Linked DNA regions of Canis lupus familiaris. The protein of the gene in region 1 purifies or fractionates together with the protein of each later gene. This does not show direct contact. Links are inferred from orthologs where the notes say so. Each region holds a gene or a part of one and is shown in the gene's direction. Other genes may lie near its edges. The genes, in order: SBF2 and MTMR1.

The links.
Region 2: the proteins of SBF2 (region 1) and MTMR1 purify together in Homo sapiens (affinity purification with mass spectrometry; 3 studies listed by BioGRID and IntAct, with this or other methods). This does not show direct contact. The link is inferred for Canis lupus familiaris from reciprocal best matches to the Homo sapiens genes SBF2 and MTMR1.

What each region holds. Positions count from the first base shown.
Region 1 is NC_049242.1:33,630,054-33,641,060, reverse strand, and holds part of SBF2 (myotubularin-related protein 13), read left to right. Parts: intron 1-1,631; coding exon 1,632-1,808; intron 1,809-3,903; coding exon 3,904-4,005; intron 4,006-4,695; coding exon 4,696-4,881; intron 4,882-11,007. UniProt on the Homo sapiens protein: Guanine nucleotide exchange factor (GEF) which activates RAB21 and possibly RAB28. Promotes the exchange of GDP to GTP, converting inactive GDP-bound Rab proteins into their active GTP-bound form.
Region 2 is NC_049260.1:120,301,110-120,311,339, forward strand, and holds the end of MTMR1 (myotubularin-related protein 1), read left to right. Parts: intron 1-3,972; coding exon 3,973-4,134; 3' UTR 4,135-4,839; downstream 4,840-10,230. Other genes in the region: CD99L2 (CD99 antigen-like protein 2), read right to left, coding at 7,347-7,411, 8,255-8,320, 9,072-9,089. UniProt on the Homo sapiens protein: Lipid phosphatase that specifically dephosphorylates the D-3 position of phosphatidylinositol 3-phosphate, generating phosphatidylinositol. Could also dephosphorylate phosphatidylinositol 3,5-bisphosphate to produce phosphatidylinositol 5-phosphate.

The sequences.
Region 1 (11,007 bases):
TCCATGTTGTTGAATTTTTATATTTATCTTCTGTATGTAAAATTGCAATCACATTTACAAGCATATAGTTTTTTTTATTGAGATACAATTCAGTAGGGTCTTATTTTATATTTTATATTTTTTCTTTAGGGTAGCTTCCTTTTTAAAAGAGGGATTATTAAGACAAACTTTTTTTCTTGATACATGTTAGAAATGATATTTTAAAAAAAAGAATTAGGATTTTTTGCTTTTTATTTTAAAACTATAATATACCTTTTTAAAAATACTCTGAAATAACCAATATAAAACATTAGCAGACCCTATGTATAAGTTCTTGGCAGAGTTTTTTTTTTTTAATTGTGATAAAATACAAATAACATAAAATTACCATCTTCATGTATACAGTTCAGTAGTGTTATGTACATTCATACTGTTATACACCCAATCTCCAGAAACCAATTTTACTCTTAGAAAAGCAAATAGTCTAGTACAGTAATTTTAGCAGAATGTGAAGAAAGCACAGAGAATATGAGAAAACCAATTCATTCTTTGACATGAAAAGGTTGAGAACTTTTAAACCTTGAGAACTAGGGCAGCCTGGGTGGCTCAGCGGTTTAGCACCGCCTTCAGCCCATGGCGTGATCCTGGAGACCCGGGATCGAGTCCCACATCGGGCTCCCTGCATGGAGCCTGCTTCTCCCTCTGCCTGTGTCCCTGCCTGTCTCTCTGCCTGTCTCTCTCTTTCTCTCTCTCCTCTCTCTCTCTCTCTCTCACATGAATAAATAAAATCATCAATCAATCAATCAATCTTGAGAACTAGGCAACTATATTATCAAAACAAAATAGACCAAAGGGCCATCAGTTTAGTATTTTTAAATTATAAATACAACCTCATGTGGAATAAATTTCATATGGATTAAAGATGTAAATTATAAAAGTATTCAAATAAATAGAGACTGATACATGTGTCATACTGAATGGAAAAAATACTATCCCAGTGCTAGAAATCACAAAATCTTTCAGAATTTACTATATATAAAATTTTGTATTATTAGCTTTAAAAGAGTAACAGTAACATTAGTAATCTTAGGGCAGTGAGGTAGTGATTTTTATTTCCTTCTCAATGTTAATCTCTACTTTTTTTTCATTTTACAATGACTGTGTTTTACTTGCATAATAAGAAACAGATATGTCTATATGTCTATATCTACAAACTTTTATTTGTAGAGTTCTGGAACCTCAACAGTATATTACCTTTTCATTACAGGGTATATCTTGGGGAAACTTAATTTACAGTTTTGGATTAATTATGCTGTCCACGTGTCATTGGTTCCTCTTTAGGCTTCAAGGGTCATGGCCTTATAACTGGCTTATATATGGTATTATGAATTCCATCAGGTTCCAGCCTACCAGTAGCCTCTCCAAATTCTCAGAATGACAGCAAGCCAAGTCAAACCACAAGACCTTACTGAATGGCTCTTTCCAGTAATACTGACACATTAGCCACACAAGATTGACTTTCCTGACCTCTGCAACCTCTGTAGCTACTTGGCCTCAACTAACTGTGCATCATTAAGTATTGCCCTGTTAAAAACAGTGCTCTTTTACCTATAGCACTGCATCTGCCTAATTCTCTGCATCTTCACCCACAGAACTTCAAGTTAGAATTTGCTTTAAATTGTGAGTTTGTTCCTGTTGAATTTTATGACATCCGACAAGTTAAAGCCAGTTTCAAAAAACTGATGAGGGCTTGTGTTCCAAGCACCATTCCTACTGACTCAGAAGTGACCTTCCTGAAAGCCCTGGGAGACTCTGAGTGGTTCCCACAGGTAATGTCTGGAGCAGCTTGTCCTATAACTCAGAGAAAGAGAAGTCCAAGTAGATAAACAGAATGGATACTTGAGGAGGAAAAAATATTGTGTGCCCTCACTACCTGACATTCTCCCCTTACTGTATGCCCTCCATAAAGACTTTCCAGTTTCAGGGAACCATATGATATAGAAGATGGCAGGGGGTAGAATTCTTCATCCCTGGGCTTTCATCTCTCTATAATTGAAAATTTGGTCTTCATGGGTTGCTGAGGAGGAGGACATCTTTATTGTTCGATGGAAACTTTCTGATATGCAGTAAATTTAATCATTGAAAAATATTTATAGGACTCCTGCTCTGTTATCAGCAGAGTGAGGATCCAGGACAGAATGTGATATCTGATGACTCCAAGAGCCTTTCCCTGTTACTTTCTTACCTTCCATGTGTCTCTGCCTTTTCCATGTGTCTAGATTTTAGAATCACCCTCAGACCAGCCACCAAAATCATTTTGGATACCCTAAAACTTACCTAAGGTTTAGGAAAAACTGCATATCCTTTCGTCAGCTCAGTCAAGCTTGGGATGTTTTTAATTAAACTCTTATTAAGAAATTAAGGAGAAATAGGTATTCCAGCACACATAACCCACATTTCTTCCAAACCACAGAAGAAAGGTATTTATGACATGCATGTTTTAGACACTGATGCAGACATTTAACCAAGAGCATCTCCGCGGTATACCCTTCAGCCTTGTCTTCAGGCCACTGATGCTATGCCCATTATTCCTTTGCCCCCTGTAGGAGTTCCCAACCCCTCTAATCTCCTGTTCCTATCTGTCTCCAAGCCTCCTGCCTCTCTTAAGGAGGAAAAAGAGTTGTTTTCCATAAACCAGGAAATGATTGGGAGTACCTAAGGCAGTGACTATTCTCAAGATACTTAAACTCTTTAAAAAAAAAAAATTAGCTATAAATCTGGATCAGGGTATGTTGATGACTATTATAGCAGTTCAGGATACTTTTGAATACCCATGGAAGGAGCTGATCAAGACTCCCTTCTATCCCAAAGCTATGAGCCCCAACCCCAAACTATCTGTGTTTCTGATACATTCTGTGTCCTACTTCTTACTCCAAAATAGATCCTTACCAGAAGTTGGTAACTAAAGTCAGTGGAAAATATTGCCCCACTTGGAATATTGGCATTTTAAAAGTTAACTCAGAGCAAATGCTAAGCCCAAGAGAATACAGGCCTGGTAATATCTATGTTATAGGAACAGGGAGTAAGGAGTTTCCCATTGCTGGAGAGGACATGTGCCTTGCTCCTAGGTATAAAATAGCCCAGATCTCTTTAAAGTATGGGGGATTTTATTTTGTTTTATGTTAGTTGACAGATTCATTCTACAATTTATATCAAAAGATGCTTATAATAGTTTTAAACTATAATATACAATTGGTTTTGAATCTATATGCTCTGCTCACAACCTAGTTGTTCATTAGGGACTTTGAGTCTTTTGGGTTGGCTTCAAAAGCTGAACACAAATATAAATTTTCTTTCCATTTAATATATAGTGCAGACAAATAAGAATGTCTTTTTTAAAATATAAAATTTATTTGTCAAAAATTCAGCCCTTTAAAGTGTACAATTCAGTGCTTTTTAGTATATTCACAGAGTTCTGCCTCCATCCTCCTATCTAATTACAGAAAAATTAAAAGTATCTGAAATAGAACCGATTATATCATAGAAAAACAAATTTTAAATCCAATAACTGTGTTGGTAGGGCCACTTAGAATCTGACTTTTCCACTCTATGGGGTTACATAGCTCTTCTACTTTGGGGAGATCATGTAGGGTCAGTTTATTTCATTGTCTATCATTTGAACATGTTGTTTTAAAATGTGTCTACTTCTAAATTATGTCATTGTTTCATCTTGATTTTGACAAAGAACCACCAAATCCATCAGAAACTTTGACAAAGTTTTAAGCATTTAAAACTTATATGATTCTTTTGTCCAAATACTTCATCCCTAACTTGTTTCATTATCTGAGGTTGATAATGAGTCTGTCTGTTCTTGGTGTTCAGAAAGTGCCTGGTCTAATTGTGGCCTCCTTTCCTATCTCTTAGCTTCACAGGATAATGCAGCTGGCTGTGGTTGTATCAGAAGTACTTGAGAATGGTTCCTCAGTTTTGGTCTGTTTGGAGGAAGGCTGGGACATCACTGCACAAGTAAATGATTAAAACATAGTTTCAGATACTTAGTTTTAGATTTATATTTAAATTCAGTTGTTTTTAAATCCTGCAGATGAATCTTTTGTATAATGACTAATGTGTTTATGGACAAAGTCCTATGTTAAAAACCACCAAATCCATCAGAAAGTTTTGTGCCCTGAGCTTCCAGGCACTACATATCCTGGAGCTCTGGTCCAGGGCATCTGGCTCCCTCATGACAGATACACCATGCAAGCATACAAATGGAGCCGTTGATCAGAGGGTAGGACATGGACCATCCTTCCTGGGTTTTGTCAGTCCTTTCCCTGGCTTTCAATAAGCTCCTCCTTTATCCACTGTAGAGTAAAAAAAGGGTATAAATATAAACTATGTAAGACATTAATCTGTATCTGCCAAAAAGTAGATAATAGGTTGGAACTGATCCTCTAGCCTTATTAATTAACCTGCAGGAGGGGACTATAGTCAGCAAACTGGTTAGGTAAAGATTAAAATCATAATTCCCTGAAAGAAAACATGTAGCCAAAATGAGTTTGAGTTTTAGTTTTTACTGGAAGTTTGCAGAATTAATTTGATTGGCTGTCCTGGAGCAGCTAGTGAACAAATTTGCTGTTATGGTAACTTTGCCTGTCTTAGTAACAAAATTTTTTCAGGACCGAAAGTAATGTATCCATCCTGCTTGTGTCCTAGGTGACATCCCTGGTTCAGTTACTCAGTGATCCCTTTTATAGGACACTTGAAGGCTTTCGGATGTTGGTGGAAAAAGAATGGCTCTCTTTTGGTCATAAATTCAATCAGCGGAGCAGCTTGACCCTCAATTGTCAGGGTAGTGGTTTTACTCCAGTCTTCCTGCAGTTCTTAGACTGTGTACACCAGGTAAGTAGAGCAGACTTTAAATTGACTTGATATGAAAGAAAGAAAAGAACTAACATTTATTGAGCATAGCAGTGCTGTGCCAGGTATCTTCATGTCATGATTCTGATGGACTCAGCCATAAGGCTTGCTGAAATCTTAGCAGTGGATTCCTGGGAATAGAGAAGGAAAAAAAAAACTAGTTGGTTTCTGAATCTAGGATAGCTGAGTTAGCTACTGGCTGGCCCCCATGTGAAGTAGCCAGCACTCTAACTTATCATCTCCCAAGAAGAGGAGTAAACTTGGGTTTGTCGTTCAGGAAGGTTTGATCTATGATAAAACAGCAAAAATCTCTAAGTGATGACAGGGCCTGAAATCCAGCAGGTGCTCATCCCCATTCTGGAGGATGTTAGCTTGTGCCTAGGAATATGGAAGGTGGAGCTTAACCCCTGAGAAAGAATCAGGGCCCAATCAGGCAAGCCTGTGAGGTTGAGAACACTGGCTCGATTCTACTCAGTGACTTAATCAGGGCTAATCAGAGACCAGACAGAAACCCAGGTATATAATCCAGTCATACCCAGTGGGAGCAGGGGAATGGGGAAGATGTGAATGCTCTACAGGCTCCCTCAAGCCTCATCAGTTACAAACTTCCTAATGGGGCCTGAATCAGAATTGGGCTTGAGAATTACATGGCACCGGGTTTGCTAAATTGGCCTAGGAAAAGCAGTGTTGACATCTCCAACTTTACTTCATCTGTACCATAACAATGAATGTGTTTTGGCATGTCAGACATATTTGTCAGAACCATGAGCCTCTTGGAAATAGATTGTCCTCGGGTATCTATTGGAAGGAAAGATGGAAATGTTTTCAGGAACCAGTACTAAAACTAGGTCTTCTAAAGAGGTTTTGTTTTGGTTTGGTTTTTTTTTATTCTATTTATCATTTGATCAACTTTATTAATTCACTACATAATTTTTCATTTATTTAAAGTGTATATAATTCAATAGTTTTAGTATATTCACAAAGTTGTATAATTGCCACAATCAATTTTAGAACATTTTACCACTCCAAAAAAGAAACTCAAAAAAAAAAAAAAGAAAAAAGAAACTCTATACCCATTAGCAGTGACTTTCCATCTCCGACCCCCGACCCCATCCCCCATATACACACATTCTGGTGGTTGTTTTTGACTGCTCTAATCAGCTTCTTAAGAAAAGATCTATTGAATAATTTTAGTTAATTCTGTCCGAACATCATCCAGAGAAGCTGGCTGTAGGATTGAGCTTATGTTTTAAATCTTTGCAGCAAAAGGTATATTTGTTTACTATTTGAATATGAGCCTTTTTATTTTGTACTTCTTTTGGCAGATAGATGAGGGAGGCATTTGGAGCCCATTGTCTCTGAAACAGAAAGCTTAACTGATACCAAAGGAGAGGCACAAGGATCTTTTTCTCACATCTAGATAGATGAACCATACGAATTCTTCATGAAAGCACTTCTTATTATCTTGCTTATTGCCTTACATTGCTTACCAAATGCACTAAGCTGTCTACCTTAAACTTATACAATGACATATGTCAAGTATTTCTTGGTAAAACTGGCAGAGGTATGGGGAGGCAGGTATAAGCAACTACATACTATATATGATTTCATTTATAGAAAATTCTACAAAAGGCAAAACTATTGTGACAGAAACATATCAGTGGTCATTTGGGACCAGTGGTCAGGGACCATGAAGGGGCGTGAGCAAACGTTTTAGGATAAGGGAACTATACTAATTGTGCTGGTGATCACACAATGTATACAATGACCAAAACTAACCTGTATGGTGTAAATAGGAGGATTTTATTATATGTAAATTATATATCAATGAACCTGAAAAACAAAAAAAAAATTTTTTTAAGATTTATTTATTTATTTATGATAGACATAGAGAGAGAGAGGCAGAGACACAGGAGGAGGGAGAAGCAGGCTCCATGCTGGGAGCCTGATGTGAAACTTGATCCTGGGACTCCAGGATTGAGTCCTGGGCCAAAGGCAGGCGTTAAACTGCTGAGCCACCCAGGGATCCCCCAGAAAAACAAAATTTTAATTAGTAAGTCCAACATCTCAGTTAACTGGAGTTCCAGAAAAAAAAAAAAAAAAAAAAAAAACAGCTCTCTAGTTTTTCCAGAGAAAAATTTGTCAGTCTGGTGCCCAGAGAATACTTATAAGCTGGCTGCCTGCTTTTTAGAAATAGGGCAGGAAATAGGTCCAGGGAGATCCTTCTTTTTCTATGCTATTTTCAGTTTCAAGCCTCCTCATGAACCCAGTTGTGCCTACTGTTCCCAAGTCCAGAGCTCATCTAGTTTGGTTTTTCCAGAGGACAAATTTCTAATCCCTTGCTTTCAAGAAGGTAATCACATGACTGCATGGGGTAGGAGAGGACCCTGGAGATCTCACCACTTCCTCTATAGACTTAACCTAGTCCTCATTTTTGGCTCCCATTTCACCTCTGTATATGTTACTGAGTTATTGGGCCTCTGAGTCCTGAGCCTTTCTGAGACAGGGCAAGCTGTCACCTTCTCAAATCATTTTCATCCTACAAGCATTCCAATGTAGCTTCTCATCTTCTATCATTTATTGCTATTCTTATATTCTATTTTCCATTGTTCATAAATGTACTGAATTTTCTTGACCTGCTACTGTTTCCCTTTCCATTCTCCCCACCTCATTTTAGGTTATTCTACCTTATAAAAAATCCTTTCCTTTAATTAAGGGAGAGTTGGAGGGCAGCTAAGTTTGTATGGCTGGATTTGGTTTAAGTTAAATGCGTTATTAAATATGTTAAATATCCATGCTAAACTTGCAAAATTCTGCATACCTAAACATGAGAGTCAGCAAAAGAGTCCACTCACAATCAGTAAGAGATGGGAGGGTCTCACAGAAGACATACTGTCCTCGAAAATGACATCATTCCACCCCAAGCGTAATAATAATTACTTGAAATATAATACTTATATTTTATTATTAGGGGTGGGTAGAAGTGTAAGTAGTCTAGAATTGGAAAGTAACCTGTATTTTGTGAGTACCCCTTAAATGATATAAATAAATCTTAATATAAATGAAAGTATAAATTCCTGTTGTCTTTAGAATACATTACAATAGAAGCTAAAACAATGTAGTGTTATCTAAAATATCTTAGGGTGTATGTTTAATTTCTAGTAACTTTTTATTTTGAATAATGAGTTAAGGGCTGCTGGTGTGGCTCAGCAGTTTAGTGCTGCCTTCAGTCCAGGGCATGATCCCGGAGACCCGGGATCAAGTCCCAAGTCAGGCTCCCTGCATGGAGCCTGCTTCTCCCTCTGCCTGTGTCTCTGCCTCTGTGTGTGTGTCTCTAAGAATAAATAAATAAAATCTAAAAAAAATTTAAATTAAAATAAATAAACAAATAATGAGTTAAAATTCAAATGCCCTATATAAATTGAGCTTTAGTGACAGCTCAGTTATTTGTAGGTGAATGCCTCAGAAACTGTAGAAAATAATATTGTTTGGAGCCTAAAGACTCCTTTAGCATTAATTCAGATCTGATTATACCACATTAAAATTTTTTATAGATTTTTTTTTTAAGATTTATTTATTTCAGAGAGAGAGTGTGTGTGTGTGAATGGGAAGAGGGGCAGCGGGAGAGAGAGAGGTAGACTAACCATTGAGCACGGAGCCTGACACAGGACTCAAATCTCATAACCCCAAGATCATGACCCTGAAATCAAGAGTTGGACACCAAACTGACAGAGCCACTCAGGTGCCCCAATGTTAAAATTTTTCAAACTAAAATATGAATTTTCAAAAGTTTTCTGAACCTCTTTTGCCTTAGTACCCTTTCATATAACAACCTGAGTGCAGGCAAGTCATGGCAAAGTAGCATATGACCTTAATTGCAGTATTTAAAGAATGCTTGGCTATGATAGGTATCAGCTTTGGTGAAGCAAATTACTTCATGCTGAAAAGGGATTGTTTATTCATTCAAAAACAGAAGACTATAGAAGACTAGTTAACAAATAGTGCTTCTGACTCTTGCTGACTTAATTATAAGGTAGTATTTCATCATCTTCTACATACTAGTTTTAGGCATTAGAGAACGCCTTCTTTGAATACCTTTCAAGTGAACACCAGTGCTTTACATGACTCCAGCTTTTGCCAGACAATTCGAACTACCACTGTCCTTAATTTCGCAGGGGCACAAAACAGAGCCAGGCCCAACATTAAAAAAAAATTTTTTTAATGTGCAAAATTACACAGCAATAAGCAAAACTCCCAGGTGGAATGTGTTCACTGCTTGTTAACCATTTCTAACACGCTGAATGCCAAAAGGCAGTCTATGGAAATTTGCCTAGACTTGTCCATTAGTACTAATAGGGTTACAAAGAAAACAGATGAAGTACTGATCTTAAATTAGAACTGCCTCATCATATAAAAAGCCATTGTTTACGCCAGTATATCCAGGTGTCAGATGAATTATAAATGCTAGATCACTGTTTCATAATAGCAACATCTGGCAAATTTTTGTTGCTTCTAAAAGAAATTGGCTTAATTCAAGTGATATCATTACAGGATGCTTCCTTTTCTTAAAATAGTTGAACCAAATTCAAAAAGAAATATATCCAAAATACAAAAATACAATTTTTACCTAAAATTTATTTTTAAAATATAATACCAAGGGAACAGACATGTATAATATGAATGAAAACATGAAGTATAGGAAAGCATCTCCTCTATTTCAACATTAGAGTAAATCTTTGAGTGTATCTTAGGACTTTTTCATTATTTCCTACTTTGAGAAAAACAAATAAGAGTTATAACTTTGCTTTTGAAGTTTATTCAAGTTGTAAATTGACTCACTCTGGTCTGGTTGTGTGATATGGTCTCACGGTTACCATACATATGCCGGCACTATGCTAGGTCCTATTCTAATAAGAAAAGCTATTTGTCTCTTGAAGATATGAACTTTCCTTGTGCGCACATGTGTGAGGAGCCACACCGCCCTCACACAGTTTGGTTACTCTAAAATGTATCCATTAATATTGGCAAAATAACTGCAGTTAATGGATTAATGGTATATTCAAAGTTTCTGGTGTCTTCCTGCTTCCCATCCATTTGAAAACTGGCAAAAATTGATGTAATCCAAGCTGTTTTATAACAAAGCAATTTTGCATTAGGGCTTTAATATTTTGAACCCATAAAATAAGTCTGAGTTTAAATATTTTGAGCCCATAAAATAAATCTGAATTTATATATCAGTCTTAACTTACTAATTTTTGATCCTTAACAAATTATTTAACCTCTCAGGTGCTTTGGTTTCTAGATAGATACATGAATACATAGATAGCTATCAGAAGGATTACAAATCTTATGTAAAGTGATTGGCACAGTAGAAACTGCACAGTTAATGTTTGTTAAATCTTTATCTTGAAATAACAAAAACTAACATTAATTACTTATTTTTCTAGGGTGTGTCTACCATACCCACAGTTTTTCCAATATTGATGCCATTCTATATAAGGTCTCTTATAGCTTAACATTTCTAATTCTCCAAAGCAAAATCCAATGTTAACTTACTATATTTTATTCCCAAAATGTTGATCTTTCCTGGGATTTGAGTCATAGCTTATTTTATGGGCCTTTAAATTTTATAAAGTACTTAATGACATATGGGCAAAAAATAAGACCCCTATAAATTCCTGTGTCTCCAAATTCCTTTTCAGATTCTCTTCTTATAAATAAGGAAAATTGGCAGGTTTCAATCCATAATGGAAAACAAAACTAAAATACCTCACATAGCTTCATCTTTTAAATCTGTATATTTTTATCTTCCATCAAGATAAATAAAAAGTTATTTTGGACAACAGAATCCAGATGATGCCTGAGAAAGGCCTAAAATTCTATTCATGAGCATATTTGGGGAAAAGCTCCTATAGAATTAATTTATAGACGGAGATGCCTATCATTTCCAATTCTACATAATAAAATAAGACTAAGTTTATTTGAAACAGGTTTGCCTTTAGGTTCCAAAAATCTTATGGCCAACAGCACAGAAAAATAATGAAACCAAATGCTGTTCTTTGAAAAGATCAATAGATTGTTAAACTTCTAGCCAGACTGGTCAAAGAA
Region 2 (10,230 bases), on another chromosome or scaffold:
AGTGGTTGTACTGCACTAGGACTCACCCTGATGACCTCAGCGTAACTCGAACTACCTGTGTGAGGAACTGTCTCCACATCCAGGTGCGCTCTGTGGTGCTGGGGCTCAGCACTTCAGTGTCTGCATTTTGGGTGGACAGTTACCCCGTGACGATCCCCAGGCCCCACTAACCGTGAGGGAGACCCAGCCGTTCATGTCACCTGGCTGTTGCCTGGTGCTTGAGCTTTGGAGGGACCATCACCTCACTAGCCTTCCCTCCCTGATGGCAAATTCAGTCCCTGTAGACGTCACCCCAGGACCCCTGCGACCATGCCCACTGTCGCTGTGCTCCTGCCTCTCCTCTCTGACCCACTCCCTTTCCCAGCAGCACAGCTCCAGCTGCTCCTCGCTGGCCTCTCCTCCCCTGACTCTTTGATCCTGCTTTCTCTTCCATGAAATTTAGCCACAAGGGCTCTTTCTCCCTCTAGAGCCTCTAGGTCAGCTCTGCCACCCTCAGAGCCCTCAGGACTGTTTTCCAGAACAGTCCAGCCTGGGACTTGTCTTCCTCTCGGGGCAGGTATGAGACCCAGGCCTCATGTTCCCCTCTCTCCCTCCTGGTCCGATGGGCCCTGTATCCCGGGGGCTGCCTGTCGACCCCTCGCCTCTGGAAATGCTTCCCCGGTGTCTGCTTCTCACTGGGCCAACAGCCGCTGCTCTGAGAACCTTCTTCAGGAGACCTTCCGCAGGCAGACTTCCCTCCACTGGCTGTACTGAGCCCCCGCCCGCTGTCCGGGTGCACTAGCACGGTTCCAGCCCGCCGGAAGGGGCCAGTGGCAGCTTCCCATGTCATGAGAGCACGGAGCAGCAGGGGTGCTGCGACGTGAGGGACCTCGGTCCCGAGACGGCCAGAGCACGGTGCTAACCACCAGATGGAGTGTGGACTCGGTGCCAACTGTAAGAGCTGGAAGACATTCTCTTTATCGGAGAACATGTGAAGTGAGAGACAGTCTGTTCTTTTCTCCATGAGGACGATGTACATGTGGCCAAGTCCTGTGGTCAGTGGTTAATGTCTGAAATACTGGTTTTTGAGTGTGTGGCCAGTGAGCCATTAGGAACTAATTTCAGATGTTCTGCCGATGAGCACGCATCCCGTTAGCTCTGCGGCATCTCTGCAGAAGGCCACAGGGTCAGACAACAGTTGCCGGTGGCCTCCAAAGAGCCTCTTCACAAGCATGGTCCCCAGATCCTTTCCTCTCCCCTCTTCCGAGTGACCCATACCTCACGTGACTCATCATTCCCCGGTCGCGCAGCTGAGGGTGGCCATACAGTGGCCCGCTGGTCCCGGAGCCGGCCTCCCGTGGCCACCTGATGGCTGCAGCTCATCTGCCTTCCACACCCCGGCCCCGCCGTCCCCTCTGAGCTGTGGTGACAACTTCTGTCTCTCTCAGACGACGGGGATACGCTGCAAGGGTAGGCCCTGGCATGACGACTGCTGCTTGTTAGATGGAATCGCCCACAAAATGAGAGCCGTGTGAGAGAGAGCTGCCTTTGCAGGGGCGTGCGGGCCCAGAAAGCCCAGTGATTTACAGGGCAGCTTCCACAACTATGCTCCTTTTTCACCTCAGCTGCTTTCTCTTCGAATGCCAGCCCCCAGGACCCCTTAGGCACTTCCTTCCAGTCACTGGAGTCCCTTTTACTTAGGAACACAAGTCAGGTGTGCGTCCGCCGCTCCCTCCCGGCCTCTGCCTGTGTTCTGCTCCTGCCCTTGGCTCGCTGTTCCTTCCTGCCCGGTTCTGTCGTGTGTCGTAGCAACAAGAAGACAGGCTCAGGGACAGAGGGCAGGAAACCCACTTTATTTTGGTCACATGGAGAGAGTCACCAAATAGGATCCTGGGGGACACAGAGGACAGACGGTGGGATTTCTGAAACATTTGCAGGGAAGCTGGCACAGGCCCTGCTGCGGGACAAAGAGCAGCCCTGGGCTCGAGCGCTTCCCCCTATGCTTGGGGACTGTGAACGCGAGAGCACCGCCCTGGCCCTGAAGCCCTCCCACCTGTCCTGTCTGCGGCACTCCGTGACCATGGCCACCGTGACGGCAGCGGGAGCCGCAGCCGGCACTGGCCTCCATCAAGGTCTCGGGCAGGACTGTCGTGCTACAGGAGCCATCGGCCGCACCGAGGGCAGGCCCTGAGCTGCCGTGCACTGGCCTGCAGGGTGCCCATGGGCCGGGGTCCCATCCCCTCCGGCGGTGGCTCCACGCACTTGGGGCCCAGGTCCCCGGGCCTCGCCGAGACCTCGTGGAGCAGGAACGGAGCGTGATGTGAAGGCCTACGGAGTGCTGTGGCTCCAGCGTGACGGGAGAACTGCCCGGTGGCCCACGGGCTGCCGCTTCTTGTTCTAACCAGGCCGGCGGGAGGGCTTGGGGGAGCAGGCCAGGCCTTGACGTGGGGGGGGAACAGGCTGGGCGGGGGGAGCAGGCTGGGCCTTGGCAGGGAGGGGGGAGGGGGGAGCAGGCTGGGCCTTGGGGGCTCCGCAGGCCGGTGGGGGGCAGGCTGGGCAGGCACACGGTGCACAGGGCCAGCTCATTAGCAGCAGTATGTTCAAAGACGGGGGTGGGGGGGTGGCACAGAGTGGGCACCTAGGCCGGCGTCACTGCGACAGGATGGGGAGCCAGGCCGGCGGGACAGGGAGGAAAGGCAGGGGACCAGCCTGCTTGGCCCCTTCTGTCCGAGGAGGGCGCTTGTGGGCTGCCTGCACCACGCCTCCCTGGGCCTCCGTCAGAGGGTTGGCCGGGTGGAAGGGGGGACCGAGCTGCGTCGTTTCCTTCGGGGCCCTCTTGGCTCGGGGCAGACCCACCGCCCACAGGGGGAGGCTCCCTACTGGGCACTTCTCTACCGAGCGGGCCTTGGATTTACTGGAAGTGACCTGAGGCAAGGCTGCTCGGAGATCCCTGAGGGTCACCTCAGGTCCTGGGTGTGACACTGGGCGCTCCCTCCATGGACTTCCCGTGTCCGGGACCTGACTCCAGAAGTTTCCCTTGTGTGATTCCCTCGGAACCAAACGATCCCAACAGGAGAATTAACACCAAATTGGCCGCAAGGCCAGGAGGGGAGCTACTGCTTACTTCGCGGTGGCCTTGGGGATCAGCAGCAAATAAGGGAACGTCCCCTTGTTTGGGGGGGGTCTTTGGCATCAGCCTCAGTGTTGTCCCTTCCCTTCAGCCTCAGTGTTGTCCCTTCCCTTCTTGCTGTGGCCTGATGTCAGGACTTGGTTCCTCGCTAGTGACCTGGCACCCTGCGCTTTCATCTGCCTGCCTCCTCCCTACCCGTCTCCCTCCTCCCTGGACTGGGGTGATCAGCCCTGATGGGAGAGCCCGGGGGCAGGGGGCTGCACATGCATGGAACGGCTCAAAACCTAGAAGATTCTGGAATGCAGGAGGGGAGCAGAGGCAGGACCCTGGGGGAGCGGTGAGGAGCGGTGAGGAGCGGCAGGCTGGGGTCAGAGCCCAGGGTTTTGAGGGCAAGGTCGGGGCGGCAGAAAGCAGCCCCTGGAGGCTGTTGGCTGGGCACCAGGGAGCCTGGCTGAGGCTCAGGACCCGGGCCTGCGGCTGCCGTGCACACACTGCATCAGGGACACAAGGCCAGGAGCGCCTCCCAGGTGGTGACCCCCGTCCCCGGTGCACCTCACCCTGGTCCGAGAGCCTCGTGGGGGACAAGCTGGCTGCTGGCTGCCTGGGCCGGCCGGGGGAGAACGGGTGATGCTGTGACCCAGCCTCAGGCCGGGAGTCCCGTACGCCCACGGCAGCCCCCTCCGGGCCTCAGGCTCCCGGGGAGGCCTTGCGGGGGGGGGGGTGGGCTCGGCCCCCCAGGCGCCCTCCTCCAGCAGGGTCATCACCGGGGTGGCCGCCTGCACCTCTCGCGATGGGTGGGAACAGTGTCGGTGCTGCCAGTCGGCAGAGCTGCAGGGGACCTCACCGTGTCCCTCTCTCCCCAGATGCCCATTCACCAGAACCTCAAGGAGCTGCTGGCCGTGAAGGCGGAGCTGCAGAAGCGGGTGGAGGACTTGCAGCGGGAGGTGGCCACACGCGCCTCGTCGTCCTCCGAGCGGGGCTCCTCGCCGTCCCACCCGGTCACCCCCGTCCACACGTCCGTGTGACGCGCTCTGGGGCCACTCCCCGAGGGGCCTCGGGCAGGCCGCGGGCCGGGTGATCCTGCCCACCAGCGACCGCCTGCGTGGCAAGGTGACCGCTCCCGCCGTCATCAAGCGCTTTCCGTTTCGTCGGCCGTGTCCGTCGTGCCCACTCACCGCCCTGGCCCCGCCACGGCCCCCGAGTGTCCCGTCCTCTTCCCGCCCGGGGCCCTCCTGCGCCAGTTACTGTCATGTACATAGAAGGTATTTTTTAAAAAGAGAAACATGCCTTTATTTTCCTATGTCCTTTTTTATGTTGGAAACTAGTCACCCGAGGAGGTGTGTGCGTAACCGGACCGGGTGACGGGTTCTTTCCACCCCCAGCTCGCGCCGACTTACGTGGTCTGCCCGCGACAGGAACAGGGCCAGTGACCTGGCACGGTGTCCTCCCGCCGGCAGCGGCGGTGGCGGTCCTCCTCCCGGGGCCGCATCGCCTCGTGCGGGCTGTCTGTTGGGCCGTCCGCGTGCGAGCCCCCTTCCCCCGGGTGCCCCCACCCGGCCCAGCTAGAAGCCTCGTGCCGTTAGCCGAGCACCCCCCTTGCTTTCTGTTTATTTAAAGCGTATGGAACCTAAGCCCCTGGTGCAGGTGTGTAAAGACTGGTACAGTCGCGTAGTCGCCTCATCTGATACACTGTATTTCCATCTGTAATTAAAATAATATGTTTGCTCTGGGGTCGTCTACTTTTTTTTTTAATGTTTTCCCAATTCCTCCCTCGGAAAAATGACAGCACCTTCCACACCTGTGGTCTCCCGTGCCACGCCCAGGTGACGCGTGTGAGGTAGGACTCGAGTCCTTCGCTGAACCCCACACGCGCGTCTCGGCCCCAAAGGGGATGTGGCGCGTGTAGCCGTGGATCGCCCGTCTGCCCGAAGCTGGTGGGGGAGGGCTGGGCGATCGGGCCCGGGGACCCCGGGACCCCGAGCTGCAAAGGGGGCAGACCGCTGACAAGCCCCGGGGCCCCCACCCCGAGTCCACGGCTCGCATGCTGGCCTCTGGGGGAGCCCCCGCGGGTCTCGCGCCCCTGTCCCCTCCGGGCACCCGGCTGCCCATGCGGATACCGGGGAGTCCCAGGGCGGCTCTGGGCGGGAGGGCTCGTGCTGCTGCACTAGCGGCCGGCAGGGCGCCGAAGCGCCACCCCACGCAGGTGACCCCACGCCCGCCGCCTCCCACTCGGCCCCGGGGTCCGGCTGCGAGCCCGCCACCAGGTCCGCTCATGCCCGGACGGGCCCTGCCGCCCCACCATCGGCACCCCGGCAAGGGCCAGAACGCCGAGCTTCTGGGGGAACACCTGGGGCTGGGGCTGGGGCACAGCCTCCGGGAGAACCCAGCATCACTTCCCAAAGAAGCCCCCCCCTTCCCGCCATCAGGGCACAGGCGCCAGTCGGTTCCAGTTCGTTTAATGCAAACGCGAGACAGCTTACAGCTCACACTGAAACACAAGCGCGTCACAGTCCAGGGGTGCGGGGGCGGGGGGCCCCTCCTCGGGGCTCCCAGCGCCAGGCTGGGCCCAGTCACACCACGCGACACACGGGCCATGGGGACCAGGGCCCCCTACCTTCCCGGCGGTGGGCAGGGAAGGAACTTGCCGCCCAGCGGTGCTGCCTCCGTTTTCTACCTGTGAAACGCCTCAAGCCCCCCCTCCTGCTCCCGGGTCCCCCCCACGGGGTGGCCAGAGGCCACGGACACGAGAGGCCTCCCCCACCGCCCGAGCCCCCCCCCATCCTGGGCAGGGACACCCCCACCCCCACGCAGAGGGGTCTCCTCGGTGCTCCACACCTGCACACTCACAACGGAGGCCGCCCTCCAGGGGGGAGGGCCCCCCGGGGTGGCGGCCAGCATCCGAGGGACGGCCTGGGGACGCGCAGCAGGGGACAGTCCCCGCACCGCGGGGTCTCTAAAGCAGCTGCCAACAAACGCCAGCATGCGAGGCATGTGTCACTCCACCTGCGGGGTCGCCTCTGACCCCAACCGTTCCCTCGGAAGCCAGACGGGACGGTGCAGCACAAGGGGGCGCCAGGAGCCCTGGCCACAGGGCCCCCCTGCCTGCCGGCCTCCGGGGGTGCTACTGGACGCTGCAAGCCCAATGCCAGTACATGGTGGCTCGAGACCTCAGCTCAGCCTCGGACAGCAGGGCTCCCCCAGACAGGACCCCACGTGGGCCACATGGAACGTTCCAGGAGGCTAGCCCCAGGCCAGACTGCGCCAGTAAGTGAACGGGCAGCCCCTGCGTGCTGGCGTTCCCTGCAGCCCCGCGGCGCCCGAGGGCCCCCGGCCAACAGGACACACACAACCATCATTCCAGACCCAAGAGCCAGGCCAGTGCCACTAATCCCAGCGGGCGGCCCCTCCCCCCTCAACTACAATTTTAAGCAAAACCCACGCGTGCTTCTGGCTTTGCTGCTCATGCCCAGCGTCTAGCTTTTGCTACCGAACAAAGCGCGTACACGGGGTACACGGGGTACACGGGGAATACTCGTTTCAATGCATCAATGATTCCTAAACACTAATCACGGCGGCTGCCTACGGAACCAGAGGGGGATCAGGCCCAAGAGTCACAGCTGCCTACTCGTCCAGAAGGTTCCTAAGACCTCGGGGCAGGACTATCACAACATGCATGTTTGCACTCAAATAAATGAAAAGCCACCACTTGGACCAGCTCTCTGGAAGCCCAGGGGTGTAAGAGCTGGGTGGTGTGTGTGCACGCACACGCATGTGCGTATGTGAGAGCGAGTGACAGAGGGAGAGGGAGAAAGGCGGAGAGTGTGTGTGGTGTGTCGGGGGGGAGGGTGGGTGGTTGTCTGATCCCCCTGCTGTGCTCCTGGCAGGGCCTCAGGGCCTCCCAGCAACCCAGGTGTGAGCTGGGTCCCCAGCGACAGCAGCCCGAGGCCGCTGCCAGGGACATGGGGCGTCACTGCAGCGTGCCAGGGTTGCGCTACCCTGGGCTCCGGCTCTTACCCCTGAGCACCAGCGTCTTCCTGCCCCCCGTCCTCCCGGTGTCCCCAGTGCCCGGCGTCCCCGAGCGTCCATGGCAGGGCAGGCTCAGAAACCAGCCTCACACACACCCCGAGTTCGTCTGGAAAACTTAGAATCAGAAGCCGATGGCGTCATCAGAGAAGCGGACGGTGGTGGTGGTGGGTCCACGGGAACGAAGGAGCTGGTCACCAGGGCGACGTAGGCCTCAGATCCGGGGCGCCTCGGGGGGTGGCGGCTCCGCAGTCTGCGTCTGTAGCGTCAGGTATTTCACTGGGGAGAGAAGACAGGAATTAGGAGGGGGACACGGTCCCCCCAGGGCGCCGAAGGGGCAAATACAGGCCCTCGGTGGGACACTGGGGCCTGTGGCCAGTGGGGACGCCCTGGTCGCCGCGGCTGGGGGGCCGCAGAACTAGGTAGCCAGTGGCCCCGAGGGGCTGTTCTTGGCTCTCCTCCGGGGGCCACGGAGCCCGATGGTGCAGGACCGGCACACACCGCGGTCCCCGTCCTAAGTGAAGGGCCGTCCCCGCGGCTGCCGTTGGCTCCCGTGACAGCCCCCCGCCCCGGCTTGACCTTACACCTCCCGTCCATCCGTCGATGGCTCCCACTCTCAGCGCTCGACCACGGGGTGCGGGGGACACGGGCTCCGGGGTCAGCCGAGGCCCTGCAGCGCCCCCAGTCTTCAGAAGGAAAAGTCCAGGTGTCTTTTAAAGGCTGCCCCCAAAAGGGAGGTGAGCAGGGGTGGGGGTGACTGGGTGACGGGCACTGAGGGGGGCACTTGGCGGGATGAGCACTGGGTGTTATGCTGTATGCTGGCAAATTGAACTCCAATAAAAAGAAAATAAGAAGAAAAAATAAAAAATAAAGGCTGCCCCCCGCCCCCCATGACAGCTCCGTTGGCCTGGGCCCAGCGGCTCCCCCCGCCAGGACCAGAGTCCCCAGTGCACGAGTCCCTGACTCCGCAGGCAGCCCTGGCTGTGGCCCCAGCGTCCCTGGTGTCAGGAAGTGGAACGGCTCGTCCCTGCAGTCACGCCCAGTTCTGGCTGAACTGCCCCGCGGGGAAGGCTTCGGGGCCACCCCCCCGACTCGCACCCCGTGCCGCCGGGAAGGGCTCACCTTGGGGCTCCTCGCACACAACGGCTTCCAGGTTCTCTCCTTTCACGTAGTCGGCGTTCAGACCCTCTGCAGGGGGCGAGGAGCAGAGTCAGCGGCTGACCCGGCGCGGGGGGGGGGGGGGGGGGGTCCCCACATTGTCCTCGGGAGGGACGTAGCAAGGGCCTCTGACCCGCATCCCCGCAGGGCAGGTGCCAGCTGTGGGAGCCCCGGGGCCAGGTGGCGGGGCCAGCCCGGGGGCCCGGAGGGGCAGAGGGAGCCAAGCGCCACAGGAGGGGGGGCACATGCGGGGAGGGGGTGCACGGGGTCCGCTGCAGAGGGGCCACCAGCGTCCTGCCAGCGTCCGGCCTTCCCTGCAACGTCCCCACCTTCGGGCCACGTGGCTCCTCCAGCCAGCAGGGCGGAGGGCCGTGAGCACCCGGGGGGGCGGGCCTGGCCCCCCCAGAGCCACTCCACTCAGGTTCAGGGGCTCCATCCCCACCGCCCTGCCAGGGGCATCGAAGACACCCGGGCTCTCAGCTCACGGGGGGGCGCGACTGCGACTGGAGCCCGCCTTACACGGGGACACTCAGCAGTCAGTGCGACAGCCCTGGGGAACCTGAGGACCGGGAGCCCCTGGCGCCGACCCCCAGACGGGACCCCTGGCCCCGGCCTCCCTGCAGGGACAGCGGCCGAGCCGCAGGTGGTGTGGCCACAGCCCGGTGGGTGAGGGGCAGGGAGGGGTGGGGCGGGCAGTGGGGGCAGGAGCGAGGGCGGCGGGGCGGGGCCCGGGGACCGGCCGAGCGGGAGAGGGACAGGAGTAGTCGAAGCGCGGCATTACCTTGACCTTCTGCTGCATCTGAAGGCAAGACACAAAGCTTAGGACGACAGAGCCCGGGGGCTTTCCGCCACCTGCACTGCCCCTGTCCCCCGGTCCCGGAGACTCTGTGCCTGGGGACGGACCCGGACAGAGGGGGGCCCCGAAGCTCACGGCTGCACCCTCCCTTCCTGGTGCACTTTCTGCTCTGCCTTGTGTGACCGCCCCGCGCTGGCGGCTGTGGCCGCTTGGGGACACAGGCCTGGCAGACAAGGTGGGGGTGGCCAGTCCCAACCCCAGCTCCTCGGGGGCTTGAGCGCGGGGCCGGGAGGCCGGGTCGGCAGGGGCACTCTCGGGGGAGGGCAGGGTGGGCACAAGGGCGTCCAGGAAAGGGACTCGGGCCAGTGTGGGCTCGGGGCGACAGGCACGTCCTGGACAGATGGCGGGGACGGGGAGGGGTGGTCGGGGGGAGCCCTCAGAGGCCGCGCAGGCACGCCTGCCTCCCGGGCCTGGGCCGCCACCCCCGGGCTGCCTTCAGAAAGGCCGCAGAGCCACCCCCTCGGGGCTCCGGCCGTGGCTGTCAGGTGTCCCGAACACCCCCTCTTGGAGCGACTGTCCCTCAACTACCGCAGCAACCCTTCCGCTCTGCACAGCAGGGCCCGCGGGTCCCCCCTGGTCCCACCCACACAGCCTCACAGCTGTTGGAGAAAACAAGGGCGGAAAGAAGGCATCTTCGCTTCACTTGGGGCGCCTCCCCCCGTGGCCAGAGCCGCAGATCCCCCGATCCCCTGGATCCTACAATCCTCCCAATCCCACACTCCTCACGAGCCTTCACTGCACTGCCTCCCTGTCTGGCCTCGGGCTCCCCTGAGGACCCGGCGCTTCCCCGTGTGGACTCAGTCCTTTCCACAGCCCTCTGAGCCCCTCCTTCCCCATCGATAAAGTCAGGGTGCCCTCGATCCCGGCCCTGGGGCTGACGGGGTCTCCGGGCGGGACTCCGCATACAGTGCTCCGCAGCGCCCGGCTTTTAAATAGTCTCTCCGTTACCCGATGGGCTTCCTCGCATCCCCATGCCCTGCCTGCGCACATGGGGCACCTGGCACCCCCCGTCGGGGTAACGATGCGGTGCTGCAGCCAATGGTGGCCCCTGGAGACGAGGCCATGTCCTCGGCCTCCGGCCACC